Linked DNA regions of Macaca mulatta. The protein of the gene in region 5 interacts with the protein of the main gene of each other region in a pairwise test. Links are inferred from orthologs where the notes say so. Each region holds a gene or a part of one and is shown on either strand. Other genes may lie near its edges. The genes, in order: RNF146, UPK1B, BCL2L2, EMD, KASH5, SENP2 and JAGN1.

Region 1 (4,171 bases), on a different chromosome or scaffold from region 5:
GGAATGTTAATTGGCTATTTAAAAAACATATGCCTTAGTTTGTAACTTATTGTTGCTTCAAGTTACAAGATCTTTGAAGGCAAGTGTTTATCTCAAAATATGTGAAAGCTTTTATAGTGCTTAACATACTAAGACGTCCTATTAGGGTTTATTTAGAACAAGCTTATCCAACCTGTGGGCGACATGCGGCCCAGGGTGGCTTTGAATGCAGCCCAACACAAATTCATAAGCTTTCTTAAAACATTATGTGATTTTTTTTTTTTTTTTTTTAGCTTATCAGCTATCATTAGTGTTAATGCATTTTATGTGTGGCCCAAGACAATTCGTTTTCTTCCAGTGTGGCCCAGGGAAACCAAAAGATTAGACACCCCTGACTTAGAACTTTCCATAGGTTAGGAAAAAGTTGTACTTTCTTGATGTCTATAACCTAGAATTTTTGGTAAAGGAATTGATTGGAAATGTTATTAAAAGTTGAAAATAATTTGGAAATTAAGCATTTTAGTGATCAGTTCTTCCACTGAAACTGTGTTGCTTCCTTTACTAAATATGTGCCATCTTTTTAAAAACTTAATGTGTTGCTTCCTTTACTAGAAAATTGCCATCTTTTTGAGCCTTGTCTATTGAGGAACCAAGAACACAGAAAAGGCTGTAAAAAGAAAAAAAAAAAAGGATTGTTTTAAGATTGGATGTGCTGTGATGATAGCCTAGGATTATTGTTTTTCAATTTTTGATGAGCGTAAGCATTGTTAGTGACTATATCTTTTGTAACTACTGGACCCATTTAGAATGGCAGAATTAGCTGGCACAAAGATTGTCATGCATTTTAAGCTTTAATCTCTCACATCTTCATCTTCATTTCTCAGTCTTCTTTACTTATCAGTGGTTTCCTCCCTCTATTATTTTCTCCCCTTTTAATTTTTTTTTTTTTTTTAACTATGGGGAAAAAAAAATTAAATGTTTCCTTAGCAGGGCACAATAAGGCTTTCATGACTTGGCTTTTGATTATCTTTACACCTTCATCTCCTGCTCTTCCATTGCTTGTATGACTATTTGACTCAGTGTCTTGCACATGCCTCTGCCTGGAATCTGCTCCACTGCCCAGGCCCCTCTGAATGAACACTAAACTTTCTAACCTATGTCCATCCTCTCATCTCTGTCTCTCTCATTGTTATTTTTGTAAGTATGTTAATACATTCTGATTATGCAGGAATCAGGCCATATTGTAATTATCTGCATATTTGTTTCCTTATTTAACAGAGTACTTGAGTGTCTTATTTATCATTAGACCCATCAGTACTTAGTATCTAGACCATGGTAGGTGTTTGGTAAACGTTTATCTGAATCAGCAAGGCAGAAATTATAAATTTTATGTCAGTGTTTAAGCTGGATACATCCAATTTGACAAATCTTTTTTCTTCCTCCTCTTCAGGGCATCTTCAATATTCATGTTATTTTCTCCCTTGGTCTTATGTGATTGTTACCTTTATGAAGCTTTAGTGATTACAAAGCACTTTTTTTGTTCATTTTTACCTGAGCTTTGTAAACTCTGATTTGCAGGTAAGGAAATTTAGACTAAGGGTTGAACTGCATGCCTAAGAGCACATAGTTAATAAAGAACTCTAAAACTCAGATTTTTAGATTTCTTGTCTAGCATTCATTTCACTGTATAATAGCTGCCATGATCCTTTTTCCCTCCACTGGATGCAGCTTTTCATTATATAGTTCTTCAGTGTGTTTCTCCAGGGCCGATCTGTAAGTGCACTGATGGAATTTTTATACATTCCCAAAGTATGTACAAGTAAATGCTTATAAAACGTTTTCATTGGTTGGAGAGTTTTTCTTCTACTTTCATCTTCATATCCCCATTGTCTAGAATGTGGCTTGCATATAATGCACATAATAGGTGGTTAGTATTTTCATAATTGTTGAATTAAGATATTGCAAGAATTAAAACATGACTTTAATATTTTATGTATTTTTTCTTAGGATGGCTGGCTGTGGTGAAATTGATCATTCAATAAACATGCTTCCTACAAACAGGAAAGCAAACGAGTCCTGTTCTAATACTGCACCTTCTTTAACCGTCCCTGAATGTGCCATTTGTCTGCAAACATGTGTTCATCCAGTCAGTCTGCCCTGTAAGCACGTTTTCTGCTATCTATGTGTAAAAGGAGCTTCATGGCTTGGAAAGCGGTGTGCTCTTTGTCGACAAGAAATTCCCGAGGATTTCCTTGACAAGCCAACCTTGTTGTCACCAGAAGAACTCAAGGCAGCAAGTAGAGGAAATGGTGAATATGCATGGTATTATGAAGGAAGAAATGGGTGGTGGCAGTACGATGAGCGCACTAGTAGAGAGCTGGAAGATGCTTTTTCCAAAGGTAAAAAGAACACTGAAATGTTAATTGCTGGCTTTCTGTATGTCGCTGATCTTGAAAACATGGTTCAATATAGGAGAAATGAACATGGACGTCGCAGGAAGATTAAGCGAGATATAATAGATATACCAAAGAAGGGAGTAGCTGGACTTAGGCTAGACTGTGATGCTAATACCGTAAACCTAGCAAGAGAGAGCTCTGCTGATGGAGCGGACAGTGTATCAGCACAGAGTGGAGCTTCTGTTCAGCCCCTAGTGTCTTCTGTAAGGCCCCTAACGTCAGTAGATGGTCAGTTAACAAGCCCTGCAACACCATCCCCTGATGCAAGCACTTCTCTGGAAGACTCTTTTGCTCATTTACAACTCAGTGGAGACAGCATAGCTGAAAGGAGTCATAGGGGAGAAGGAGAAGAAGATCATGAATCACCATCTTCAGGCAGGGTACCAGCACCAGACACCTCCATTGAAGAAACTGAATCAGATGCCAGTAGTGATAGTGAGAATGTATCATCTGCAGTTGTTGCACAGCACTCCTTGACCCAACAGAGACTTTTGGTTTCTAATGCAAACCAGACAGTATCCGATCGATCAGATCAATCGGGAACTGATCGATCAGTAGCAGGGGGTGGAACAGTGAGTGTCAGTGTCAGATCTAGAAGGCCTGATGGACAGTGCACAGTAACTGAAGTTTAAATAAAAATGTCTTCAGCTCCATGCTCAAGGTTGAAAAGGTTACCTGTAAATTTCTGCCCACATAACATTATACTCATCCCTAGTAGTGCATTTTGGGAGTTGGGGTGGGAAGGGGTATGGGAAGGATAGACCCGTAATCAAAATGTCTAACATGTCTCTGTTGAGAAATTTATTTAATGTAAGGAACTTGGGTGTTAATAGTTGAGAGCTGTTTAGTAATAACCCAGTTTTCTCGAGGTCTGTTTACTTTATAGTTTTTAAAAACTTCTGTAGTTCTTTTGGCCAGTGTGTTTGTATTATCTGTGCATTAATGGTCCTCATCTGACTCCTGCATTGTGTCTTATTTTTCTGCATGGATTGGCATAAGACCATTACTAAAATTTGGCACCTGTGAGATGTTTGATATTATGAGCAGGAAGCATAATTTAATGTAAGAATAGATGTGAATTTGGGATTTCAAAATAGATGAATAACTACTATTTTATAGTAAAGTTATTGATACGGAAATGAAAACAGCCAGTAACTTATGTTTCAGAATGTTTGTAACACACTTCATGGCGTTCCCATAGGCTTTGCTGTCTAGTCTTATAGTTTGAGGTTTTTCTGGTCAGCATTTTTCTTTTTGATTACAAAATTTATAATTTAATAAATACTAGAGTTTATCAAAAACAATTTGTCTCTTGTTTGAGTGTGGAAAGGGTGTGGAAACATTTTGACATTTGTGACCAAAGGTCACTTAAAAAGTGGTAGTTTTAATTGGTTGTTTTCAGCTTTAAATCACCTGCCCAGAAAAGTCTGATTTTTTTTCTTAAGAGATTATTTATTTAACAGATTATTATTTAAACAGAACCTATAGGCAGTGTGTATATAATAAATATATATGGAAATAAAATTAAAGCAGATACCATTAATATTTTATATTTTCCTTACCATATTCATTAGTAGTCTAACACTCTGGATTAAATGGCAGACTTACAGTGTTAGCAGACATGAATTCACTTTAAACAAAATGTTGTAGACCACAAAATCCACTTTTATTTGGTAGATTTTACATCTATGGCCAAATAGAAAATATTAGGTTGACACAGTAATCTAGAATTTACC
Region 2 (3,981 bases), on a different chromosome or scaffold from region 5:
CAAACTCTAGTTCATGCTAGAGAAATTTGAATTAACAAAGGAGAAAAAAAAGAAAAGGAAAAATAGGAGAGGAAGAAACGAAGAAACACAATATGCTATTGCCTTAGCCCTGACCCTGAAACTCAGAACAAGAACAGACACTTGCGTGGCTCAGAGTAAAGATGGGTGTGGAGACTGTAGGTCACAACAATTGCTGGTCTGCTTCAACTTAAGGTAGGATAAGTCCCTGGAAATAACAAAAAGAGGAGCTTTCTCCTAGGGCCATCACCCATGGCTCACAGTGCCCATAAGTTTTTCTTGCTTTAAAGCTCAAAACCTGTGTTCACTAATACAGTAGTTAGTAGTTGCGTGCAGTTATTCAAAGTCAAATGAATTCAAATAAAAGTAAAAACCAGTTCCTCAGTTGCTCCAACCACATCTCAAGCACTCCCCAGATACATGTGGTTAGTGTCTATTGTCTAGAACATTTCCCTTATCACAGAAAGTTTTACTGGACAGCACTACTCTTGATTCCTGGTGCTCCCAGTATGATGGGAGTCATCCATCTATTGGAAATCAGGGACTAGCTGTAAGCAATGGCTCAGGAGCACTCAGTTGCATGAAGGCCTCAGGTGTGGGCATTGCCAGAGGGATGCCCAGCTCCAGGAAAGGAGTACTGTGGAGAATCCTTGGGGCAGGGGGACGAGGCGGGGAGCATGGTGTGTGATGACGGTGCCCCTCACCAATGTGGTCTCTGTCCCAGTTGGCGAATGGTGGCCCATCAAGTTTGTGGGCGGCCTGCATGGCTATCAGGCCCAAATTCCAGAGCATATTTAAAGGCTGACTGGTGTTTACTCTGGTTAAGAACGTAAGCAGGAGAAGTCAAAAAGAAGTTCTGAGTTTTGGCCGGGTGCTGTGGCTCACGCCTATAATCCCAGCACTTTGGGAGGCTGAGGCAGGTGGATCACAAGGTCAGGAGATCCAGACCATCCTGGCTAACACAGTGAAACCCTGTCTCTACTAAAAAATGCAAAAAATTAGCCGGTCGTGGTGGTGGGCACCTGTAGTCCCAGCTACTTGGGAGACTGAGGCAGGAGAATGGTGTGAGCCCGTGAGGCAGAGCTTGCAGTGAGCTGAGATCGCACCACTGCTCTCCAGCCTGGGAGTCAGAGAGACTCCGTCTCAAAAAAACAAAAAACAAAAAACAAAAACAGTTCTGAGTTTTTTTTTTCTCCTTGATTAAAGGATGTCTAAGGTCCCCTTTGAATGTAAAAGTCTATGATTCTTCCCAGCAGTTAAAAAAAAATATATAGGTGAGTTGATTTTAAAGACTATTTTATAGCAGAAAGCAAAACAATCTGTTGGAGCGAAAGTAAAGTAAGAAATTTTTCTCCTCACTGAAAAGGTTAATAAAAAGAAAATCCACTTCTTCACAGGGTCTGAAAACTATGTAACCTAAATTTTATTTATACTGAAAGTATATATATATATCTATAAAACCTAGCGAGTTATTTCCTGTTGTGCTTAGCAACTCAGGCAAGAAATGGTCAAGAAACATTGTCTTTCATTAAAAGAAGACATTCGAGTTAACAAAACTTCTTTAAAAATTTATTTATATATTTTTAGAGACAGGATCTCACTATGTTGCCCAGCCTGGACTAGAACTCCTCATCCCATGGCCTCAGCTTCTTGAATAGCTGGAACTGGAGGCATGTGCCACTGCAACTGGCTATAAATTCTTAAATGGCTTAAAAATCTTTAAAACTAGTTAGAAATAGAGTTTTAGGTTTATAAACAAATGCAAACATAAAATAATACTAGCATTATTTGAAACTTAAATTTGTATTTTGTATGAAAATGTCATTAGAACGAAAAATATCTTTATGTCCTGCACATCCTTGTGGAACAAAGAATTGGTAAGGAGTAAAAACAAATTATGTAAAAATAACATTGCATAGATAAAGCTACTTTGTTGACTTACTTCAACTGACACATTTATTAAGCAGAAGTGTTTGCAGAGAATAACTGGGAGTAAATTGCCTCACACATTTCATTACAAGTTGGCAGGACCAAATGATTTCTGACAAGAAGACCAAGAAACTTTCTCTCTGCTAGCCTGAACGGATTATTCAGAAATGACACGAGCTATTTCGTTAAATTTTCTATTGCTTTTCTGACTCCACAAGGAAATTGGGGGTCTACAAAGGTGTCTGTCTATGTGCGATTTAATCAGGAGATACGGGGTTTCTCAGGTGCTTGGATTTTCTTGTTCTTTCTTTGGGGATATTTCAGGTTGAAAGCAGGATGGCTGCGTAATATCTCCAGAACAGAACAAGACTTATATCAAAGGTTTTAAGAAAGCAATTTGAACGGTTCAAAGTAAAAGAGAACAGGACAGTCACAATACCCTAAATTACAAAGAAAAAAAATGACAGACTTTATGAATCAGGAATCTAACTTCTTCCCCTTTCGCTCCCAGACCACTAGCTTCCCTCCCAGGAGAGCAACCCAACCCTTGAGCCCGCGGGATTCCCTGTAGAGGGAAAGCAGTCTACTCACAGCGCCTCCTCTTTCTGCACACAGGGTGCGGCCCGCTCCGCAGTCTGCACCAGCCCCAGGTGCTTTTCTACCCTCCTGCAATCCTTTGAACCTCCAGGACCAGGGAAGGGTGGTCTGTGATTGGCAGGAGGCACCTCACATGGGCTGAGCTTGCCGCTGCCTGCCCTGCCTCGCTGAGACGGGGGAGTAACCGGAGACTGTCAGTAGATTTCTGCTGCTTTGGAATGTGTGACTCTGACATCTGGAAGCACCTTGACAGCCACACTCATTGCTTTCCTAGATCCCTCCTAGGTCTGGACTTTACTGGAATACAAATTCAGGGCTTTTATTTTGATTTGATTTGATTAGTGTAATTTGATCCTTACTCCTGCTTTTGTGTGTTGAAGGCTTGTTAGTCCTGACTGCTCACAGAGATAATGATATGTGCTTACCTGTGCAGGGCCATGTCCAGCTTTAGTTTCTATAACCCTTGCATATGCCAAATTCATAGCAATAGTCATTGCCCAAGTAATGCTCATACTGTAGGTAGCCCAAAGACCAATAAGGAGCAAGAGATGTGGAAAGAAACAGATTGAGAAAAATTCAGGCAAAGAGAGAGGGCTCAAGTGATTATCTGATGTCCAATTCTTCTCTTCCCTCTTCCTTCCTCCCTTTCCTTTCTCTTCTCTTCCCTTCCTTTCTTTTTTCCTTCTTTCCTGACTTCCGGAGCCATCATGTGTTATACATGGCACCCAGAGCATCATTTTAATGGCTGCATAACCTATCGTAGTATACATGCACCATAGCTTGTTTAACCTGAGTTAGGAGTTGGTAACAGCAGTAATGTTAGAATTTACTGAGTGCTTTAATCAATAGACTTGGGAGTTCCTCAAGGGTCAGCATCATCTCTGTCTCAGGTTAGATTGTTCAGGAGCAGACTTTGAGACAAAATTTAGTGTTCAATATATTTATTAGGGAGTGCCCTGAGAGGAACACCCATGGCAGGGACAGGGAAGAAACAGGACTGGGCAGAGAAAGAAGTTGAGCTGCAATATAGGTGGGACAGTCTGAAGCAGTCCCCCTTGGGAAACTCTGGAGGAAGATGGCCTGTCAATGTAGCTCTGCCACTGGGCTCCTCTATCATCTGCCCTTCAATGTGGGTTGCCCTGGGAAGGCAGCTTTCTGTAGCTGAGGCAAGTCCTGAAAGGGGCTGATAACTGGAGGCTGGAGGTTGCAAGTACTCCCAGCAGCAGGGCAAGCTCCCCCTTGAAGGGGACTGCATGGAGCACCTCTGTGTCCATCACAATGCCTTATTCCTCTGCAGCTCTCCAGGGCCTGATTAGATAAATTATCATATTTCACACAATGGAATTCTGTGCAATGGTTAAAAATGACACCACAGATAAACATTTAATGTCATGGAAATAAGTTCAGTCATTTACTTAATAAATATTTATTGAAAAC
Region 3 (4,185 bases), on a different chromosome or scaffold from region 5:
CAGAGCCCTCGGTCTGGATACAATGTTTCTCTCTAAGCCTTGAGGCATCAGGACAAGGGCAGGGGAAAGGAGGGGTTGGGAGGAGGGACAGAGAACTGCCCCTAGTTCTTGCCATTGCAAGAGGGAATGTTTTCTCCTTGAGGAATCCCACCACCACCAGATTTGCCAGGCAGCCCAGCATGCACACCAGCATGCGTGCACATGCACACGTGTGTCCAAGCAGCCCACTGTTACAGCCACCTCTCCCTATCACCTGAGAACCCCCAAGCTTCCATTCCAAAAGGATGTGCCTTCTGCGTTCCCCAAATCCCACTCATCTAATGGAATACAACTGCTTATGCAAGTCCACCTTCCTCAGGGCTGCAAACCAAGTTCCAGGTCATTTCATGTGCCCACACCTATAGGTGTGATCCCTCCCACATCCCCCAGCCCTGGATCGACTCCATCTCCTGCGTCCCTAAACTTGCCAAAACATTTCCCTCACCTATGTGTCCTGCTCACTCTTCCAATCGCCTACCTGGCCTACTCAGCTGCCTCACACACTACCCTTCCCCTGCCCATCCTGTTCCATGCCCACCCATCCACCAACTCCATTTCTTCCAAGGGCATTTCTCTGTTCTGTTCCTGCTCTCCTGGCCCCCAGCCACACCTAGCCCCACCTGGCCCTGGACTTTCACTTGCTAGCAAAAAAGGCCCCTACAGTTACCAGGGCCCCCAGTGCCACGGCCCCCGTCAGCACTGTCCTCACTGATGCCCAGTTCCCCTCCCGCAGACGCCGCGCCTCCTCCAGGGCCCCGTCCCCGTATAGAGCTGTGAACTCCGCCTGTGGGAGAGAAGGGAAGTAGGAGAGAAAGAAGGAGAAAGGGATATCAGGAGAGGAAAGAGTGGACAGAAGAGGAGAGGAAGAGTTCCAGTTCCATCCACTGCCAACACTACCCCATACCCAGCTCCTCTCTGGTCAAAGCTCTTCTGGCTGCAAGCCCCTCTGATCCCCCCAGGTGCACCCCCACCCTGAGAGACTGGTTCATTTGCCGCCCACTCTGCCTCCAGTGAATTCCATCCTTTCCTTGGCGAAAAATTCTGCTCAGAACTAGCATCCTTTGCCAAGGCTTGCCTGACCACCACCCATCCCTGGTCCTCCCCACCTCCCACACCATGACTCAGGTGCAAAAAGTCCCTGACAACATTCCCCTGCAGGCACTCCTTGGGTGTGGATTCTGTCCTCTGCTTGGGACCATGAGCCCATCCAGTGTTGACTGCATGGCAGCCCTGGAGTGCAGAGTCCAGGCATCTCTCAATCTGATTCCACCCAGACGGGGAGACTCAGCCCCGCACCTCATTCCCAACATAGCTGCCTCAGTCTCCAATCAGAGCTCCCATCTTCCCCCTGGAAACCAGCTTTGCAGAGGGATGTGCAGAGCGGCAATTGAGAAGCTTCTTACCCAGCCCCCACTGCTGTGGATCCAGTCAGCCAGCCGCGTCTCCAGGTAGGCCACCATCCACTCCTGCACTTGTCCCACCAGTGGTTCCATCTCCTTGTTGACACTCTCAGCACACAGTGCAGCCCCAAAGACAAAGAAGGCTACAAGGCGGCCCCAGTTGGGGCCCCCTTGGAAAAGTTCATCGGAGACCTGGGTGAAGCGTTGCTGTGCTGAGCCTGGGGTCACATGCAGCTGAGCCGCCAGATCAGAGAAGGTGCGCCGGAAGCGGGTCTCGAACTCATCTCCAGCTGCCCGCATGGCTTGGTGCAGCGGGTCAGCTGCTGGGCCCTCCCCGGGGCCAGCTCCACAGACATAACCCTTCTGCCTCAGCTTATAACCTACAAAGTCTGCCACCAGAGCCCGTGTGTCTGGGGCCGAGGCTGGGGTCGCCATCCGGGCAGCTATAAGAGGCAAGGATGAAACACTGGCATGAATATATGGAGAGAGAATCAGAAGGGGCATTTCTGGTTTGACCAACCCAGTGAGATGAGGAGGAGAGAAGAAATGCTCAGAGCTCACTGGACAGGGAGAGGCAAGAACAAGGGAATTAAGTCATGATATGAGACCAGGCTGTGAGGGGCTGGCCATTACATTCCTAATATGCCAAATTACATTTAAAACAAGTACATTTTCTGTTTAGAGATACTTTAGATTCTTTTCATAATAAGACAACGTCAGCTCTGTGACACCCCTACAACCCTCCCACCCCTGGGCCTCCTTAGTCCACACCTCCTTGGCTAGAGGAAGGGGCTTAGGACCTCCCCAAATGCAAGATATAAAGATGTTGGCAGAGGCACAAGATGAGGGGGAGCAGATGGGCCGAAGAGAAAGGTGGGAGACGCAATGGTTTACTCCAGACAGAGAAAGGAAGGAGACACTCACCCAGCCGGGATGGCAGCTCTTAAGACACAGCACTGGTGGCAAGGAGCCCCCAGCTGGGGCCTTTCATCCTCCCGGCCAGCGTGGAGCTCTGGAAAGGGGAGGGGGAGATCAGAACCAGGAGGGGAAGGCCAGGGATCAGGTTCTGGCCTGGGAACGGCTAGGGTTGCAGCTCTGGGCCTGGGCCCCTGCCCCCAACGCTCTACCAGCTGTGTGGCCGAATCCATGTTTAATGACTGTCCTCCCGGGAAACCCAGGGCCAAGGGCTTCCTGCCGACACCATCTGTATTCGCGGTTCCCCCTAGTGCAGCCCAAAGGCCCAACTCCTCCCTTACCCCCACCTCAGCCAGTCTCCAACCCCGCCCGCCTGCCAGGTTAGGGATCTCACGGGTCAGGCCGCTGCCGGGATCCGGGCCGTTTCCTGGTGCAGGAGCTGGGAGGGAGGGAGAGAGGGAGGAAGGGAGGGAAGGAAGGAGGGAGGAGAAAGGGGGGGCAGAGGGAGGGCCCGGCGCCGGGTGATGATGGGGCCCAAAGATGCGTCCAGAGAGAGGGGCGGGGCTGGGACGCAGGCCTGCGAAGGGCCACTACTCAGGAAGAGGGAGGGCTGCTGAAGGCAGTGAAGGGCTGCCTGAGAGGGCACGGTGGGCTGGGCTGGGCTGGGCTCCTGAGCCTCGAGGCTGCCCAGAGAAATATGCCGGACTTCAGGACATCTTGGGGCAAATTTAGCATTTCCAGGAGGTTTCCGATGTTCCATGCACTTGTTGAACTTTTCCAGCCCTGAATTGTGTGCCTGGAAAACAGGAGCAGTTCCCATTAAGCTGGGAACCGTCTACTAGGTGCCTTACCCTTTTGGGACTAGCAGACACTACACAGACACCAAACCTTTCCCATCTTTTCTCCAGGACCTTTAACCCAGTGTTGTCTTTGTGGGCTGGGCTTCAGCCAGGCATCAAGGAGCCAGGACTTGGATCACAAGCAGTTTCTTCCGGTACTTTTCTTTAATTCATCTTCTTTTGTAATCAGATTGATTTTAGTGGTTTTTTTTCTTTCTTTCTTTTCTTTTTTTTTTACCCAACACAGGAACTAATTCTCATTGTGAAAAAAATCAAACAATAAAGAGGTATGGAGTAATAAAATACAGGTTCTCAAACACACACACACATACACACCCAATTCCACTTCCCTCCCTGCAGGTTGCCATTGTTAAGCTTGATGTTTATCCTTCCAGATTACATATACATGGGGCCATTATTTATACATGGCAGTATATTTATACAGGGCGGGTCACAGGTGTGAAGCAATCTGACCACAGCTGATCCACATGAGAGCACTCACAGCCAGCCCCCTGGGCTCTTGGATCTGGCACTTTCTTCAGCTCCATTTAAAAAGCAACCCAACCAAAGGCCAGAAAGAGGCGACCCAGTTCTCCTCTTCTGCTAGTACCCTTTGCTTCTACCTCCAAACCAAGCCTCTGTATTACCATCTGCCCTTATGGTCACTTGAGAAGTAAGGTCTTTTCTGCAGCAATAATAGTAACAACTAGCTGGGTTTGGTGGCTCACACCTGTAATCCCAACACTTTCGGAGGCCAAGGCGGGTGGATCACTTGAGGCCAGGAGTTTGAGACCAGCCTGACCAACATGGCAAAACCGCATCTCTACTAAAAATACAAAAATTAGCCAGCCTGTAATCCCAGCTGCTCAGGAGGCTGAGGCATGAGAATCGCTTGAAACCAGGAGGCTGAGATCATGCCACTGCACTCCAGACTGGGTGATAGAACGAGACTCTATCTCAAAAAAAAAAAAAAAGTAAAAACATATTTTGAG
Region 4 (4,171 bases), on a different chromosome or scaffold from region 5:
CGGGTTCCCGCCATTCTCCTGCCTCAGCCTCCCGAGTAGCTGGGACTACAGGCGCCCACCACCTTGCCTGGCTACTTTTTTGTATTTTTAGTAGAGACGGGGTTTCACTGTGTTAGCCAGTATGGTCTCAATCTCCTGACCTCGTGATCCGCCCGCCTCGGCCTCCCAAAGTGCTGGGATTACAGGCTTGAGCCACCGCGCCCGGCTGCTTTGCCTGAATTTCTAAGTGGGTTCTCTGTATACGCCTTGTTGTACCACAATTATATGTATAAGCAGTTACAGGTGCTTTGGGGAATGAGTTAGGGAATAAAACTCCCAAACAAAACACAAACATCTCTGGGTAGCATTTGATTCCTATCCCCAGACCAAAGCAAAAATGCGGACCCAACAAAGCCAGATTGCAATCCTCGAGTCCCAAGACGCAGAGGCCCTTGCCATGGGAGCCCAACCCTCTCCTCCAGGAAGAGCCAACGCATTAAAAATAAATGGGGTTTTTATTGTGTGTCCACGAAAACAAAGGGTGGCCTTTGGTTAATCCCCCCCAACAAGATGACAAAAAGGAGGCATGCATGACAACAAGAACCATGTTCTCCTCTGACTGAGCGAGGCCTTGCCCTCCTGGACCCTAAGGGTTACAGGCAAGCAGGGCCAGGAGGCTGCCGAGGAAAGCACACTCAGGCCCCCATGGAGGGCCTGAATCTGCTGCCTCCCTGGTGGGACAAGGCAGGGGGAGCAAGCACTACTCTGGGCTAGGCCCAGCGCCCCCCAAGCAAGAACACATAAAAGCCCCTGCCCCTGCCCCTGCCCCCACCCCCACCCCCACCCCCACTGCTAAGGCAGTCAGCCAGGACTTCCCCAGAAGACCTGGCTCTGAAGCCCAGACCCTCATGGCTCCCTCTGGAAAGGGTTGCCTTCCTCAGCCTGCATGAAGTAGTAAATGAAAAAGAGGACGATCACAAAGACCAGGAAAAGCAGCAGCTGGCCCCAGAGTGGGACCTGGTGATCCTGGCCCAGCCCAGCCCCAGGAGCATGGTTTTCAGGCCGGATGGCACGGCGGGTGAGCCATGAAGAGGAAGATGATGAGGAGGACATAGAAGAGGTGGAGGAGGAAGTAGGATAATAGGACAGGTCCAGGGAGCTCCTGGAGGCTGAAACAGGGCGGTAGTGCGCGATGCTCTGGTAGGCACTGTCCCGGCCGTACATGGGGCGTTCCCTGAGGCAAAAGAGGGGAACAGGTGGGCCAGGAGCCTGGGTCCAGAACCAGCCCCTGTCCCTGGCCTTCCCCATACATACATACCTATCCTTGCACTCCTCTTCAGAAGACGACAAAAGGTCGTCATCACGTACCTGTAGAAGAGAGTCAAGGTGAGGGAACTGGCTGGCAGGGCCACAATGGCCCTGCCACGTCCCTCTCAAATTTCCCCAGCAGGTCCCCTCTGACCTTTGGTTAAAGGCCAGGGACCCACACCCTCCTGAATGACTCTGGGTGTTCGGCCTTTTATCCATGGGGCCTTGCTACTTGTGCTCATGCCCCAGCACCCCCCTTTGCCCCCAGGACTCTCAGGAAGAGCTGGAGCCTAGATCCCAGACCAGGGTGCAGGACGCATCCTATGTGCTCTAGTCACATAGTTCTGAGGGCTCCCCAAAGTAGGACCCTGACCAAACAGGTGTCTGCTGAGCCAAAGTCTCCCCAGAGGCCCAAGGGCCACCATTTGTACCCAGTGGCCCCCTGGATTTATCCAAACACAGCCGCGATCCCCTAGGTTGTACCCAAGTACAGTACGCCTGCCAACCAGCTCACCTGGTGGTGGAAAGTGTCAGCATCTGGGAGTGAAGTCACAGACTGGCGGAAGCCCCTGGACGGGCCCGCAGACTCGGGCTCCCCATAAGTCCTGGTAGTGAAGTAGCTCTCTTCATAGTAGTCGTCATTGTAGCCTTGGGAAGGGGGGCAGCGGTAGCAGAGGGGGCATCGGTGTGCCCCGCCTGGCCCGATGGCCCTAATCTGAATCCCATTTCGGGACCTGTGACAGTTTCTCCCTCCTAAGGCTGCTGGAGTGGTTGGGACTGAGGTCTCAGGTCCTCCCTGTGAGCGGGGTCCCTGACGCAGTCGGGTGAAGGTGCCAGCGTGCCCACCCAACCCCTGCCTTACCCTTGCTCTGGTAGAGTAAGGCGTCCTCTTTCTTGGGAAGATCATACATATCTGAATCCCCTGACGTCGAATTCAAGTCTGGATTGAAAGGAGGAGACAGAACTGTTTGCCCCCCCACCCCCACCCCCACCCCAAGACTTCCCTCCCCTTTCCCCAGTGCCGCTCTCGACCGGCACCCCTGCCACACCCTCGCTACCTCATCCTCCCCGCGTCCCAGGCCGTCCCCACAGGCGAGGCTCTCACCAGAGAAGCGATAAGAGGAGGCAGCGGACGAGCCGGGGGGCGAGAGCCGCCGCCTCTGGGTCTCATACTCGAAGATCTTCTGCTCGTAAAGCCTACGAGTTGATCCTGGCCGGACACGGGGCGGTCAGGGCCGCGGTCCGGGGAAGGGGCGCGGGGAGGGCAGCGGGGAGGTCGCGGGGCGGAGCACGAGGAGGGGGCCCGGAAGGGGTCCCGCCCGCCGCCGCGTACCTACTACAGGCCCGTGCGGGATGTTGTACCGGCGCAGCAAGGCGGTCAGCTCGGTATTTGAAAGATCTGCGTAGTCGTCCATGGCGGGTGCGGGCTCGGGCGGAGGCCTGGCGGCGGCCCGGGCCTACCAAAACCGGCCGAGCAACGGCTGCCTAGGAGCACGGCGGGGGCGGCACGAGTGCATCGGGAGCGGCCGCACTCGCGTCACAGCCGAATCGCTGTCGCGTCACGGCCGCTGGCTTCGCAGGCTGCGCGCGCTGCGCTGGGCGGGACCTAACGGCGGGAGTAGCCGGCACAGACCGGCCGGGCCTTGAGAGCTGGGAGGCTGGGGCCGCGAGCCCAAACGTCATCAACTCACGGATTGGCTAGCGGCAGAGGGGGCGGGCCCCCGGGAGTCAGGGTGGTGGGAACCGGTCTCGCGGTGGGAGCGGGCGGGGCCGCAAGCCCATATGTCACAAACACGGGAATTGGCTAGTGATGGAGGGGGCGGGGCCCGCGCAGGCGCGGAGCAAAAGGTCTTGCGTTGGGAGCGAGCGGAGCGGAGAGCCCTTACGTCACAAACATGGGGATTGGCTAGCGATGGAGGAGGCGGGGCCCGCGCGGGCGCGGGGCAGAAGGTCTCGCGGTGGGAGCAAGCCGCGCCGCGAGGGGCGCCACACGTCACTAACGCACGGATTGGCTAGCGGCGTAGGCGGCGGGGCCCGCGCGGGAGTCAGGGCAATGCAAACTGGTATCGCAGTGGGAGTAGGCGGGGCTGCGGGCCCAAAAGTCACAAACGCATAGATTGGCTAGCGGCAGGGGGCGGGGCCCGCGCGGGAGTCAGGGCGACACGGCTGGGAGCCAAGACGTCACCCTGTGGCGCGCTTGAGCCAGCCGGGTGAGAGGGATGGGGCCTGCGCGCTAGGGACCCGGGACGTGCGAGCGGGCGAAGTCGGCGCTTGGGGTGGCTCTGGTCCCTAAGTCACTTGGACTTCGCCCGGTCCCTGCACATCCCTGCTCCCCGCCGTCGCCCCCCTTTCCTGGGCCCCAGAGCCTAGGGTTTCCCGGCCGCATCCCGGTCGGCCGCCCCGGCAGCGGACCCTAAGAGAGCGCGGGCCCGGGGCCAGGCACTGCCGGGGGCGCTTTGTGTGCGCATTGCTCGGGAAGCGGCTGCGGGGCAAGGCCCGCGCCTATGGGATCTCCGCAGACCCCCTGCCACGGGCCCTTCTTCCCAGTCTGCAGGGCTCTCGCCCGCGCACATGTGCCTGCTGCTTCCCACCGCCTACCTCTCTGCTTCCCTTCCTCCTCCCTCACTCTACCCGGGAGGAAATGGGGCACTGGGCCAGGAGGCCGCTGGCACTCCAGAAGCAAGCAGCCTTCGAAGGGGCCCGGGCATGCCGACGGGCACGCCAGTGGGCGCGGGCAGAGGGCGCCGTGCGATGCGTACAGAGACAACGTGTGCCCGCCTAATCCTTCATGCCGTTCATTCACCCGGGGCACTGGGGGGAGCTGCAGCGGGGCGTCCTCTCCTGTCGGAATAGTCCCTGAGGGCAGCGTGTCTAGGCAGGGGGC
Region 5 (4,146 bases):
CCTGAGAAGCTGGGACTACAGGCCCCGCCACCTCACCTGGCTAATTTTTTGTATTTTTAGTAGAGACGGGGTTTCACCATGTTAGCCAGGATGGTCTCAATCTCCTGACCTCGTGATCTGCCCGCCTCGGCCTCCCAAAGTGCTGGGATTACAGGAGTGAGCCACCGCACCCGGTCCATGACCACTTTTTTATGAAGCACCTCCTATGTGTGAGGTCCTGGGGATATAATGGTGAGCAAACCAGCCAACTAAACCCAGGCACCGGTGGCTAACTAGATAATCAGATTTCCTTTGCAGGTAGATGTTCCAATGGAAAGGCCTACAAGTCTAGGAGTGAGCATGGGAAGCAGGGAACTCTAGCCAGGGGCATACCAGGGCTTCCCCTTTGCCAGAGGTGTGAAGGATAACGGCCTGGAGCGGTGGCTCACGCCTGTAATCCCAGCACTTTGGGAGGCTGAGGCAGGTGGATCACCTGAGGTTGGGAGTTCGAGACCAGCCTGACCAACATGGAGAAACCTCGTCTCTATGAAAAATACAAAATTAGCTGGGCGTGGTGGCGCATGCCTGTAATCCTAGCTACTCGGAAGGCTGAGGCAGGAGAATCGCTTGAACCCAGGAGGCGGAGGTGGCGGTGAGCTGAGATCGCGTCATTGCACTCCAGCCTGGGCAACAAGAGCGAAACTCTATCTCAAAAAAAAAAAAAAAAAAAAAAAGGCTAGGGGGTTGGGGAGTGAGGAATGGAGGGGAACAGCCTGAGCAAGGGCCTGTGCTGGGCAGAAGTGGGGCACATTCGAGGAAGGGCAGCAAGACCAGTGGGCCTGCGAATGCCTGGACTAGAGTGAGGAGGGGGTGATGTTAATGATGATGGAGCAGAGGTAGGTGGGGCCTTGTAGGCCTCTCTGATAGGGCTGGTGTGAGGAGGAAGAGTTGGAAACCATCCTCTGAAGAAAAAAACCCCAAAGCTCAGGGAAGGAAGGGACGGAGGACCTAGAAAGTCACACTCACAGCTCTAGGCTACAGTAAAGGTCCCTGGTTCCCACCCTATCCCTTGCTCTGCCCTGAGTGGTAAGTTCCCACACTGTCTGACCCAGGGCCTGCCTGCTTCATTCTATATATAGCAATCTCACCAGATGGCAGTTGCTGGGAGGTCAGGGCTCCCTCGAAGGCGGTCTCCTCTTCCAGCTCTAATCCCCTGTATCAAAGGGATGAGGCTTAGAGCCCCACTGTAGCCGCCCCTCAGTCCTCACCAGCCACAGGCAGGGGGATTGCAGGTGGGAGGAGGGGACCGGGTCAGGTGAAAGCTGGCACCACAGGGTAGGAGGGTGAGGCCAGATGGCAAGTGCCTGCGGCCAGATGGAAAAGCAGGAGGGGCAAGGAGTGGGTTGGGTGAAGGGATGGCGAGGGACCTCTGCCAGCCCCAAGCCCCTCCCTTCTCCAGCCCCATTTTATTTGTCTCCCAGACCCCCTCTGCCTCCTCATCCAAATTATTTTGTCCTCAGACTCCCTATCTACCCCCTCTGAATCCCATCTCTTCATTTTTCTCTCCACAGCCTCGTTCCAAACACAGTAGGTCCTTGGGCCTAAAGGATGCTGGCTCCAGTAAGCAGGTATGAGGTTAGATCTTAGGAAGGACTTCCCAGAGGAGAATGAAGGTGTGGGGACTCACCCGTGTAGTTGACAGGCAGCAATCCAATCACGCATGACAACCAGGAAAGTGTCCAAGTCCACAGTGGCGTTAGGGCCCTCCCCATTGGGGTCCAGGCTGTTGGCCAATGTTTGGAGGCGTGCATCCTGGGGGCCCTGGCCTGTCACCGCCTCCAGGTAGGCCAGCACCTGGGTCACAGCCACAGTGCCTGGGACAGAGCATGCAGTGAGGGGGTCTGGGGCAAGTGGGGAGTGGTGGGTATGGACTGGCAGCAGCTTGGGAGCAGGATGTCACTGGCTAGGCTGGTGGCACTCCTGCTCCATAGCCCAGTGGAGACACACTGGGCAAGCCCTTTCCCCTCCTCTGAGTCTACTTTTTCACCTGGAAATGGGGCCCAGTCATCCCCCTATCACAAGGTGAACCAAAGGGGATGGACATGGGGACAGCACCAGCCATGCCCCACTCCACCATGGTGGCTGCCTCCCTCCCCCATCCCACGACCCCAAAACTCTACCCTCTTCCATCAATGTCCCCCAGGTTTTCCTCATTCTAAAAGGCCTTCACTCTGTTATCCACTTTCTTCTTCCTGAAGCTTCCCAAAATCACCTACTTTGTTCCTGCAATACCCCCAAGAGGGGCCCTAGCCCAGTCTTCTCCCTGAGGCTCCCCAGTTCCCAGCCTCCACCCCTCTCCCGCCCGCGCTGGTCCCTAGCACCCCTCCTGCCCCACCACCTGTCCTCTGAGGGTCACAAGCTTCGAATGTGGAGTTGAGTATTTGCTCCTCCAAGCTGACCGGCATCCCCAGCCTTGTCTCCTCAGGCTGCTCCCAGAGGTACACTGGGGAGACAAGAGGGTTCAGCTCACCAGTGAGAAGAATGAGGAAGGAAGAGGGGTGACCCCAGGTCCTCAGCCTCCTGGGCTCTGCAGAGGGGAGGGAATTCACTCAGAGCACCTAGAGTTAGGGCCAGCGGGGAACAGCAGGAAGCTTCAGGAGGGGGCAACAACGTAAGGGTCTCTGAGTTTCTTCCCCCCATCTTTCAGACCAGGAAGTCCCCCCGGCTGTCTTTTTGTGTCCAATTGGCTTAGGAGCCCAGAGAAGGACACTCTGAGATCACCCTTTCCTCCTCTCCTCTCCAGCCTCCCAGGCTGGACTCAGAAAAGGACAGGGCGGGGGAGGGCAAAGAAGAGAGGATTCTGGGAGGAGCTGAGAGTGAAGGGGGGCCCAGGAGCCAGGAACAATCCAATAATGCGTGGGCAGCCCAGATCGATCCCGCCTGCTGCATCTCCGGTCTCCCAGCCCACCCTGGGGACCAGGTCTCTCTCCTCCCTGCATCCCTAAGGCGAGGCTGGCATCATTGGAGCCCATGGCCGGGGGCTGAGACATGAAGGGATGGGGTAAACCAGGCAGGGTGGGCAGTGAGGGAATGGCTATGAGCTGGATCAAACCATATGCGTGTGTCACATAGACCTGGGTGCAGAGTCCAGCTGCACATCTGTGGGCAAGTCTGTTCTCTCAGAACCTCAGTTTCCCTACTGGTAAAATGGGGGGTGGGTGGGTAGAGTGATCCTCCTCACCAGGGCTGAGTTAGCTCTGTGTATGTGAAGCACACATGTGTACACACACACACACACACGTCCTGGGGTTTATTTGTCTACTGTTGTAGCCACAACACCTGCACATAGTGGGTGCTCAACAAATGCTCCATGACATAGGAAGAGATCCTCAACTGCAGAAGCCACTGGGACTGGCCCAGCCTCCCTCCCAGGGCTGGAAGTGACCTTCTAGGCTCCCTGCCCTGGCCTTGAACAGCTGGGTGCAGCAGCTCACTGAGCACAGGCTGCAGGACTGGGTAGATCCAAGGGGTAACTAAGGCTTGGCCTCAGACAAGTGGCGGCACTTGGGGCAATGGACTCAACTTCTCTTGGGCCTCGGTTTCTTCCTCTGGAAAATGGGGTTGGTGTTACCTCTTTCCTAGAGAGAAAATGAGATAAAATCTAGAAGGGCTTTGGCAGAGGGCCTGGCATGTGGTGGGGACTCAAGAATAGAATTGAACACTTATTGAGCATTTAGTAGGTGCCTGGCCTTTTCTGGGCACTTTACATGAACTGTCTAGTAGCATATTAATAATCGATGCTATTATAATCCCTACTTTACAAATGAGGGGACCAAAGCATAGAGAAACTAAGAACTCAGCAAAGGTCACCCTGTTTAACATATGAGTCAACTTTCTCATCCCTCTAGCTCTTCCTGGGTTCTTCGCAGTGCATGACATTTACATTCCCTCTGGCTTGAACCCACGCTCCTAGGTTTGGCCCTTGGGAAGGGGCGTGTGAACTCACAGTTAGGGAAGACCAGGGCTTTAGCCCCAGTCTGTTTTCCTCCTCTCGCTGTCTTTTTTTCTGAGACGGAGTCTTGCTGTGGTACCCAGGCTGGAGTGCAGTAGCGAAATCTCCGCTCACTGAAACTTCTGCCTCTGGGGTTCAACCAATTCTCCTGCCTC
Region 6 (3,500 bases), on a different chromosome or scaffold from region 5:
TCAAAAAAAAAAAAAAAAGAAGAAATTATTTTCTTCTAAATATATGCTTCCTCCCCCAGCACACAGCTTCACTATTTTATGGATCTCTCTCTCTCTCCACCTGCATGCCCAATATAACAGTAAGTATTCAAGAGATTTGCCTACTAGGGCAACATTGTAGAGGAAGCCAAGATGTGGCACATCTTTAAGAATTTTAACTACCTTCATTCTTCATGTTCTGTAAGTTTTTATTATTTTCAAATGCAATAATCAGCAAAAGGGGCATTTTAGTAAACTGTAACCACTTTTTTAAAAAATGCAATGAACTTATTCCTAATACCAAACCCATACTATATAACTCAACATATTTGAAGGTTAGAATTTACAAAGAATCTGTTGTATTCCAAGATATGAGATGATTGTGTTGACTCACATTTGCTAAATATCAATCTGATCCCTTAGGCCACTAATGATCATGACTCACTAAAGATCAATGTAGTCAAAGTGAATAAACAGACTATGGACCTGATTTGTTTTCATACATTCATCTCTAGTCTGGAGAAAGTCCTCAAAACAAAATATTCAAGTTTAGAATAACTGAGGTTATTTAAAGACATGCCTCTTTTTAGGATCAATACAAAGAACAATACCTCTGTGAGTTCAAGGAGATCGTCCGTTCTTCTGTCCCTCTCTTTGCCTGAGCAATTCTTTTCCTTTGTCTCAATTGACACTTTCCTCCTGAGTAAGCCATTGCTTCCGCTGCCCAGGCGGAGTCGGGCCGACACTTCTTCTGATAGGTCGGGCTCCAGTTGGTATCCCCTCCTCTGATCAAAAAAGTATCTAAATTCTACTGACATGTTTGATACTTGCAAATATAAACACGGATTACACATGAAATATAAAACTGCCACTAATGTGAAAGAAAAGAGAATTAGCAAATCCCCCAAGTGAGTAGATTTACCATATCTGTCTGTCCCTGCAAGGGGGAACAAAAAAAGCTCCAGACCTAGGCCTCACAGGACCCTCAGTTACAAACCATGAAACAGAACACTCACCACCTTCCCTGGAAGTAGCAAGAAAAGTATTTTCAGTTCTCCTATCACAATTAAAAACAGTATGTTTAAAAGATATTATGAAAGTTTTAAACAGCAAAAAATATGACCCACAATCCCATCACTCAGAATAAATCCCTACTATCTTTACCGTAACTAAACTTGGTTCTAGTTCATCCTTGTAAAAAGTCATTTTATATGACAGAAAATGCACAAAACATTAACATACCACTTACTTCATTTTTGTAAAATGAACAACTATATAACCACAATTGTGGTAAACAAATAGAATTCTGCCAGCACCCCAGAACATATCATCTCTTTCCAGAGATGTATGACTTTTAAGAAATTCTCCCTAAGAAGCCATAAAATGTAGGTAATGTGTTGGTATGGAGGCAGGTTGGTCTCTCATAAACAAAGGTGGCTACTGTAGAGGCAAAACTCCAACAACTCAGAAGGCAGAAAAAAGTTGTGTATTTTCAATGTTTCCTGTTGCTTTGTTGCCTTTTTTTTTTTTTTTTTTTTTTGGAGACAGAGTCTCACTGTGTCACCCAGGCTGGAGTGCAGTGGTGTGATCACAGCCCACTGCAGCCTTGACCTCTTGGGCTCAAGCGATCCTCCCACCTTAGCTTCCCGAGTAGCTGGGACTACAGATGTGCCACCATGCCTGGCTAAGTTTTAAATTTTTTTGTGGAGACAGTCTCACTATGTTGCCCAGGCTGGTCTCAAACTCCTGGGCTCAAGTGATCCTTCTGCCTTGGCCTCCCAAAGTTCTGGTATTACAGGTATGAGCCACTGTGCCTGGCTGGCTTGCTGCTTTTTTAAAGAAAAACAACAGAATTAACAATCAAAGTAACACACATATATATATACTTTTTCTTGCTTTTCATGGGCACCAAAACATAAGTTATGTAAGAACACAGATATCAAATGTAACGGGGATTTTCACTTACACTTTCATTTTCAAATCTAATTCCGATCATCTTCTCCGTATCAGAAATTTTCCCCTTTGAACACCTAAGGAAACAAATTGAGAGATGACAGACTTCTGCTAGATGACTTACATCCTAGTTTTAGAAATAAGATTTCATAATTTGTAAATAAAAATTGCCTTGAGTTTATACAATACTCTAAACCAAGAGTCGACAAACTTTTCTGAAAAGGAACAGACGGTATTTTAGGCTTTGCAGGTTTTATGGTCTTGGGCACATCGTGGCAACTCTGCCACTGTAATTTAAAAGCAGCCATAGATAGTGTGTAAATGAATTCGCATGTTCCAGTAGAAATTTACTATACAAAAATAGGTAAGTAGACCAGATTTGGCCCATGGGCCATAGTTTACAAACTCTGCTGTAAACCATCATCCCAAAATCCTAAAGCATGCAGAGCTGCCTTTACTGTTCCTATCCTAAAAACACTGATCACTAGACATCCCCACACCAACCAAACTCCCATCTAAGAAGCATGTGTTTCTCCCAACCACTGATGCCTGAGAGATAAAGGGCACCCCCCAACCCACCAGGCTAGGGTGGGCATCTGACACAAGAGCTAGCTACCTATCTACCTAAATATGCTGACCAACTACCAGAACTCAAGAGAGTTCACAGTTCCTCAGAACTGCTTACTCATAAATATGGCTTAGAAAATAAGAAAATATATATTAAAAGAATGAACTGAATATACGTACCTCTTTTCACTTCTCAATGAACATAGAGGTCCCTTTGTTTCAACAAGTCTATCTGTGAGGATGGTAAAGAAAAGATTAAATGTTTCCTTCATTAATGAATAATATAGTTAGAATTTCAGGTTACAGAGTTTCCACAATGTCAAGACATTCCTATACATTGAAATGCTACAGTGAATTCCAAAGACACTAGCCTCCCTATACACTAAGTTGCCTAAAAAAATGCATACATATCTTTGCTACATATCTTTGTTGTTTAAATATAATCTTTACTATAAACTGAGTGATATCTGCTCATTTGGTAAGCTGTCATTTAGTGGACAGTAAGTGGAGAAATATAAGGAAATTGTTATATAGGGAATATAATAAAATTTCAGCTCACAAAAGAGTTGCTACTATCTAGCAGCTTAAGGATAATTATCCAGAGCCATGTTATGAATCTACTTCACCTTGAAACAGCTGTTCTACTAAACTCCTAGATAAGCCCCAGTCAATGCTGTGAGGTTTTTTTGTTTTTGTTTTTTTGAGACAGAGTCTCGCTGTCGCCCAGGCTGGAGTGCAGTGGTGTGATCTTGGCTCACTGCAACATCCACCTCCCAGGTTCAAGCGATTCTACTGCCTCAGCCTCCCAAGTAGCTGGGATTACAGCCAAGTGTCACCATGCCTGGCTAAGTTTTGTATTTTTAGTAGAGATGGGGTTTTACCATGTTGTCCAGGCTGGTCTTGAACTCCTGACCTCAGGTGACCCACCTGCCTTGGCCTCCCAAAGTGCTGGGATTACAGGC
Region 7 (4,163 bases), on a different chromosome or scaffold from region 5:
GTCCAGGCTTCACTCTAAAGCGCAGTCCGACACGCTTCATTTATGCTTCTTCTCCTGTGTACTGGTGAACCAAGAGTCTAGGAGCTTCTTGCTGTAGTACAACTGCCAGGCATGCACTTGGACTGCCAACACCAACACCAGGTACATGACGGAAACAGCAGAAAAACCGAAGAGGAAACGGTAGGCCTTGCCATGGCGGTAGAGCTGCTGTGCAGCAGGGAACATCTCCATGCTGCCATAAATGAGTGGAGCGATGGAAAAGAGTCCCATGCTGATCATGGAGAGCACCAGGTAGCTAATGTTGTTGCGGGGAAAGGAGAGAAGGCCCAAGAGAGAGGGCAAAATGCTCAGCAAATATGGGTATTCCCACTGATAGGGCATGGCCACCTGATCATGTGACAAGAGCCTCAGGTGTCCCACGCTCATCTTGGCAACCAGCAGCAGCCATATGACCAGATGTACGTAGATCAGCTTCTTGATTTCATACTTGAGGGTCACACTGTGGGGCAGAGCAGAGGGAGAAGTACCTTTCAAATTTTTCTTACCACCAACTATATGCCAGGCAACTGTACTGGACACTGGGATACAAATTTGAATAAAACAGCCTAGAAGCCTAGCACAAAGAGCAGAGGAGGAAAAAATAATTAGAAGATGAAGTGAAAAAGTTCTAGTAAATATATGTTCCCAGATATATGAGACCACAGGAAGGAGGAATCGACTCTGCCTGGCATGGAATGTCAGAGATGACTATCTAGAGGCAGGTGATATTTGAACTAGCCTCAGGATTGAGTGAAGATGGGCATCCCATGCAGGAGCATGCAAGCAAAAAGGCCCAAGTATTTGTGTTCCAAGAAAGCAACTGGTTACATGTGGCAGGAACATATTATTAGGGGGAGAGGAGTAGTGGGATATGAAGTCACAAAGGCTATGAGAGTTAAAGGCAGAAGAGGCTGGGCATGGTGGCTCACAACTGTAATCCAAGCACTTTGGGAGGCTGAGGCAGGAATGCTTGAGCCCAGAGTTTGAGATTAGCCTGGCAACAAAATGAGACCCCATCTCTATTAAAAAAAAAAAAAAAAATACTAGTAATAAAGAGGTAGAGCCTGGCGTGGTGGCTCACGCCTGTAATCCCAGCATTTTGGAAGGGTGAGGCGGGTGGATCATGAGGTCAGGAGATCGAGACCATCCTGGCTAATGCGGTGAAACCCCGTCTCTACTAAAAATACAAAAAAATTAGCCAGGCGTGGTGGCAGGCGCCTGTAGTCCCAGCTACTCGGGAGGTTGAGGCTGAGAATGGTGTGAACCCGGGAGGCGGAGTGAGCTGAGATCGCGCCACTGCACTCCAGCCTGGACGACACAGCGTGACTCTGTCTCAAAAATAAATAATAATATAATAATAATAATAAGGCAGAAGGGTAACTCAGAGCTGTGTTTAGCAAGAGGACTCTGACTGCACCATAGGATTAAAGCCTGGAGGGGAAGGTATTGGCAGAGAGGAAAAGTACTCAGGCTGCCCATACTTCTCCAGCCAGATTTTTCATCTAAAGTAAGTACACACTTATCTTATTCTTCGAATTCTCTCAGGTCCCAAATGTATCCTCCTCATATCCCTAAGGGCAATGTTTCCACTCTGGGCTGTCATGAAAACACCTGCTTAAGTTGTGAGGCCCCTTCAGCCGGGGCCTAGAGATGTGAAAGAAATGAGGGTTCAAAGAGCTTGTCCTTCTTCAAAACTCTGGAGAGAAAGATATGAAGAACATTCTGGGAGAGGTCAATGGGTTTAAGGAAGTAAACATTTTAAAATTTTTATTTAAAAATATTTATTGTAGAAAATGTGGAAAAGTTGGGGGGAAAAAAAGTTACCTCTAGACTTCAAGCTCCATGAAGGCAGGGAACAGTTTTTTTCTTTTCTTTTTTTAAATAAAATTGTTTATTGAAGGTATAGCATGCATACAAAGACCATGTCTGCTTTTGCTATTATAACCTAGTGTCTAGCAGTGTATGATGGTTGGAAGTTCAGTATCCGTCGAACTAGTAATCGAATGTAGAAATACTCCTTACGTGGGAGTGTTTATAGAATTCATTTTAGGCAAGGCATCCTTAGGAGAGGCTGCCTTTTACTGTCTATATCCCCCCAAACGGCCCAAAATATAACACCTACCATATATTACGCGGTAGGCCTTACGCTATTTCCTTTATACGAATTACTGATTAATCTTTCACCAAAACCTAAAAGGCAGATTATTCTCTCCCTCTACAGATAAGGAAGCTGAGGCTCAGAAATTCGGTTTCGAAGGTGACACAGCAGGGCCAGCATCGACGTGACTCGGGAGTCCACGCGGGGCTGGATCCCCTCAAGGCACCGGGCGGATCAAGGGGTGGAGCTCGCGGGGGCGACGGGGCTTTCCAGGATGGGGGACAGGCCTGAAGCCGTCACGGGAAGAGGGGACTTGGCAGGTGCGCGGGGGCTGGCTGGGGAGCAAGACCCTGAGGCCGGGCCGGCGTCGCTCCCCAAGCCCCGCAGGCTCCGGCCGGGGAGAAAACCTCCGTGCTCCTCGCCTCACTTCATACCTCATCTGGTAGTGCATGGCGACGCGCTCTCGGTGCTGAAAGTCGCTGCCGTCGGTGCCGGCCGCTCGCGGGCCTGCTCGAGACGCCATTGTGCCTGCCCAGAACCCCCGAACCCCTCACGCGGACCTGCTACCGCAACGACAGCGCCAAGTGGCCCACGGACCCTATTTGCGCCGCCGCAGCGCCGCCACCACAGCCGCGCGACTCTGTGAAGAGAACTTCCGGCCCCTCTGTCTCAGGAGGACCGACTCTGTGGTCACTCCTCTCAGCGCAGGCGCCCTTGTTCCCTCTCGCCCCCGCCCCACCCAGCCCCGCCTCCCGTGGAGAGCGGAGGAAATTAATCCACAGACTCAGCGTGTTTTTGCTGGCGCTCAGAGGCCGCTTGAACTCTTTTACTTTCTTAAACTGTAGTATCAGTTTAGGATACCTCTGTCCACACTTTACAGAGGTGGAAACTGATACATTCTGTGACTTTCCCTGGAGCAGACATCACAGTCTCACGCCTGTAATCCCAGCACTTTGGGAGGCCGAGGTGGGTGGATCACTTGAGGTCAGGAGTTCAAGACCAGCCTGGGCAACATGGTGAAATCCCGTCTCTACTAAAAATACAAAAATTAGCCGGGTGTGGTGGCGGGTTCCTGTAATCCCAGCTACTTGGGTGGCTGAGGCAGGAGGATCGCTTGAACCAGGGAGGCAGAGGTTGCAGTAAGTCGAGAATGTGCCACTGCACTCCAGCTTGGGGGACAGAGTGCAGAGTGAGACTCCGTCTCACAATAAGTTTCTCACATTTAATAATTGCAAAGAGAAAACGGGAACCTCTCAGTGAGGAAATCTGGCTTGTCCTCCTTAACCAAATAATTAATTTGATCAATAATGAGATAAACTGATATCTTGTGCCTCTTTTAATATTCTGAGGACACAGCATGACTTCTAAGATGTTTCTCCGAAGAATACCTAACTGAATCTAATCATGAAGAAATGACATAAATCCAGACGGAGGGACATTCTAGAAGAGAGCTGGACCGTACTCTTCAAAAATGTCAAGGCCATGAAAGAAAAATTATTTCCAAATAAACTTTATCTGTAGAGACAAAGTAGAATGACCATTGCCAGAAGCTTGAGGGATGGACAGGGAATGGGGAGTTAGTGTTTAATGGATACAGAGTTTCAGTTTGGGAAGATGAAAAATGTTCTGGAGATGGATGGTGGTGTTGATTGTACAACTATATGTGTGTGCTTAATGCCACTGAACCGTACACTTAAAAATGATTAACATAGTAAGTTTTATGTTGTGTGCATTTTACCACAACAACAAAATACTAAGCAAAACTTTAAAGAAAGAAGTTATGTTATCCGAATAAAGAAAAAAAGAAAGAAAAAAGCATGTATACTGAGCATCCACCATGCACCAGGTTACTGTGCTATGACCTGCAGACACAGAAATAAACTTGGTCCATTTCCCCTGAGGGATCACAGCCCAGTCGGGGGAAGAACTTGTACCCATGAAGCTAAGAAATACAAGAAAACACAGGAGGCTGAGGGAGGAAAAATGAGGCCTCTCTCCCTGACCTGGAGGGTTAGGAAAGTCTCTC

The links.
Region 1: the proteins of KASH5 (region 5) and RNF146 interact in binary tests that used the Homo sapiens proteins (3 or more experiments, as listed by UniProt). The two-hybrid records come from large-scale screens. The link is inferred for Macaca mulatta from reciprocal best matches to the Homo sapiens genes KASH5 and RNF146.
Region 2: the proteins of KASH5 (region 5) and UPK1B interact in binary tests that used the Homo sapiens proteins (3 or more experiments, as listed by UniProt). The two-hybrid records come from large-scale screens. The link is inferred for Macaca mulatta from reciprocal best matches to the Homo sapiens genes KASH5 and UPK1B.
Region 3: the proteins of KASH5 (region 5) and BCL2L2 interact in binary tests that used the Homo sapiens proteins (3 or more experiments, as listed by UniProt). The two-hybrid records come from large-scale screens. The link is inferred for Macaca mulatta from reciprocal best matches to the Homo sapiens genes KASH5 and BCL2L2.
Region 4: the proteins of KASH5 (region 5) and EMD interact in binary tests that used the Homo sapiens proteins (3 or more experiments, as listed by UniProt). The two-hybrid records come from large-scale screens. The link is inferred for Macaca mulatta from reciprocal best matches to the Homo sapiens genes KASH5 and EMD.
Region 6: the proteins of KASH5 (region 5) and SENP2 interact in binary tests that used the Homo sapiens proteins (3 or more experiments, as listed by UniProt). The two-hybrid records come from large-scale screens. The link is inferred for Macaca mulatta from reciprocal best matches to the Homo sapiens genes KASH5 and SENP2.
Region 7: the proteins of KASH5 (region 5) and JAGN1 interact in binary tests that used the Homo sapiens proteins (3 or more experiments, as listed by UniProt). The two-hybrid records come from large-scale screens. The link is inferred for Macaca mulatta from reciprocal best matches to the Homo sapiens genes KASH5 and JAGN1.

The regions. Positions count from the first base shown.
Region 1 is NC_133409.1:32,293,843-32,298,013, forward strand, and holds RNF146 (E3 ubiquitin-protein ligase RNF146), read left to right. Parts: upstream 1-1,488; 5' UTR 1,489-1,557; intron 1,558-1,986; coding exon of another isoform or gene 1,987-1,987; coding exon 1,988-3,067; 3' UTR 3,068-3,671; downstream 3,672-4,171. UniProt on the Homo sapiens protein: E3 ubiquitin-protein ligase that specifically binds poly-ADP-ribosylated (PARsylated) proteins and mediates their ubiquitination and subsequent degradation. May regulate many important biological processes, such as cell survival and DNA damage response.
Region 2 is NC_133407.1:164,549,299-164,553,279, forward strand, and holds the start of UPK1B (uroplakin-1b), read right to left. Parts: upstream 2,801-3,981; 5' UTR 2,539-2,800; intron 1-2,538. UniProt on the Homo sapiens protein: Component of the asymmetric unit membrane (AUM); a highly specialized biomembrane elaborated by terminally differentiated urothelial cells.
Region 3 is NC_133412.1:96,405,983-96,410,167, reverse strand, and holds the start of BCL2L2 (bcl-2-like protein 2), read right to left. Parts: upstream 2,801-4,185; 5' UTR 2,567-2,800; intron 2,452-2,566; 5' UTR 2,364-2,451; intron 1,883-2,363; 5' UTR 1,875-1,882; coding exon 1,443-1,874; intron 824-1,442; coding exon 674-823; 3' UTR 1-673. UniProt on the Homo sapiens protein: Promotes cell survival. Blocks dexamethasone-induced apoptosis. Mediates survival of postmitotic Sertoli cells by suppressing death-promoting activity of BAX.
Region 4 is NC_133426.1:160,532,518-160,536,688, forward strand, and holds EMD (emerin), read right to left. Parts: upstream 2,801-4,171; 5' UTR 2,703-2,800; coding exon 2,621-2,702; intron 2,498-2,620; coding exon 2,393-2,497; intron 2,228-2,392; coding exon 2,150-2,227; intron 1,936-2,149; coding exon 1,802-1,935; intron 1,348-1,801; coding exon 1,298-1,347; intron 1,214-1,297; coding exon 886-1,213; 3' UTR 479-885; downstream 1-478. UniProt on the Homo sapiens protein: Stabilizes and promotes the formation of a nuclear actin cortical network. Stimulates actin polymerization in vitro by binding and stabilizing the pointed end of growing filaments. Inhibits beta-catenin activity by preventing its accumulation in the nucleus.
Region 5 is NC_133424.1:61,819,252-61,823,397, reverse strand, and holds the start of KASH5 (protein KASH5), read right to left. Parts: upstream 2,801-4,146; 5' UTR 2,680-2,800; coding exon 2,598-2,679; intron 2,483-2,597; coding exon 2,378-2,482; intron 1,854-2,377; coding exon 1,667-1,853; intron 1,193-1,666; coding exon 1,128-1,192; intron 1-1,127. UniProt on the Homo sapiens protein: As a component of the LINC (LInker of Nucleoskeleton and Cytoskeleton) complex, involved in the connection between the nuclear lamina and the cytoskeleton.
Region 6 is NC_133407.1:97,766,956-97,770,455, reverse strand, and holds part of SENP2 (sentrin-specific protease 2), read right to left. Parts: intron 2,771-3,500; coding exon 2,719-2,770; intron 2,049-2,718; coding exon 1,985-2,048; intron 804-1,984; coding exon 630-803; intron 1-629. UniProt on the Homo sapiens protein: Protease that catalyzes two essential functions in the SUMO pathway.
Region 7 is NC_133407.1:148,701,607-148,705,769, reverse strand, and holds the start of JAGN1 (protein jagunal homolog 1), read right to left. Parts: upstream 2,801-4,163; 5' UTR 2,661-2,800; coding exon 2,572-2,660; intron 500-2,571; coding exon 37-499; 3' UTR 1-36. UniProt on the Homo sapiens protein: Endoplasmic reticulum transmembrane protein involved in vesicle-mediated transport, which is required for neutrophil function.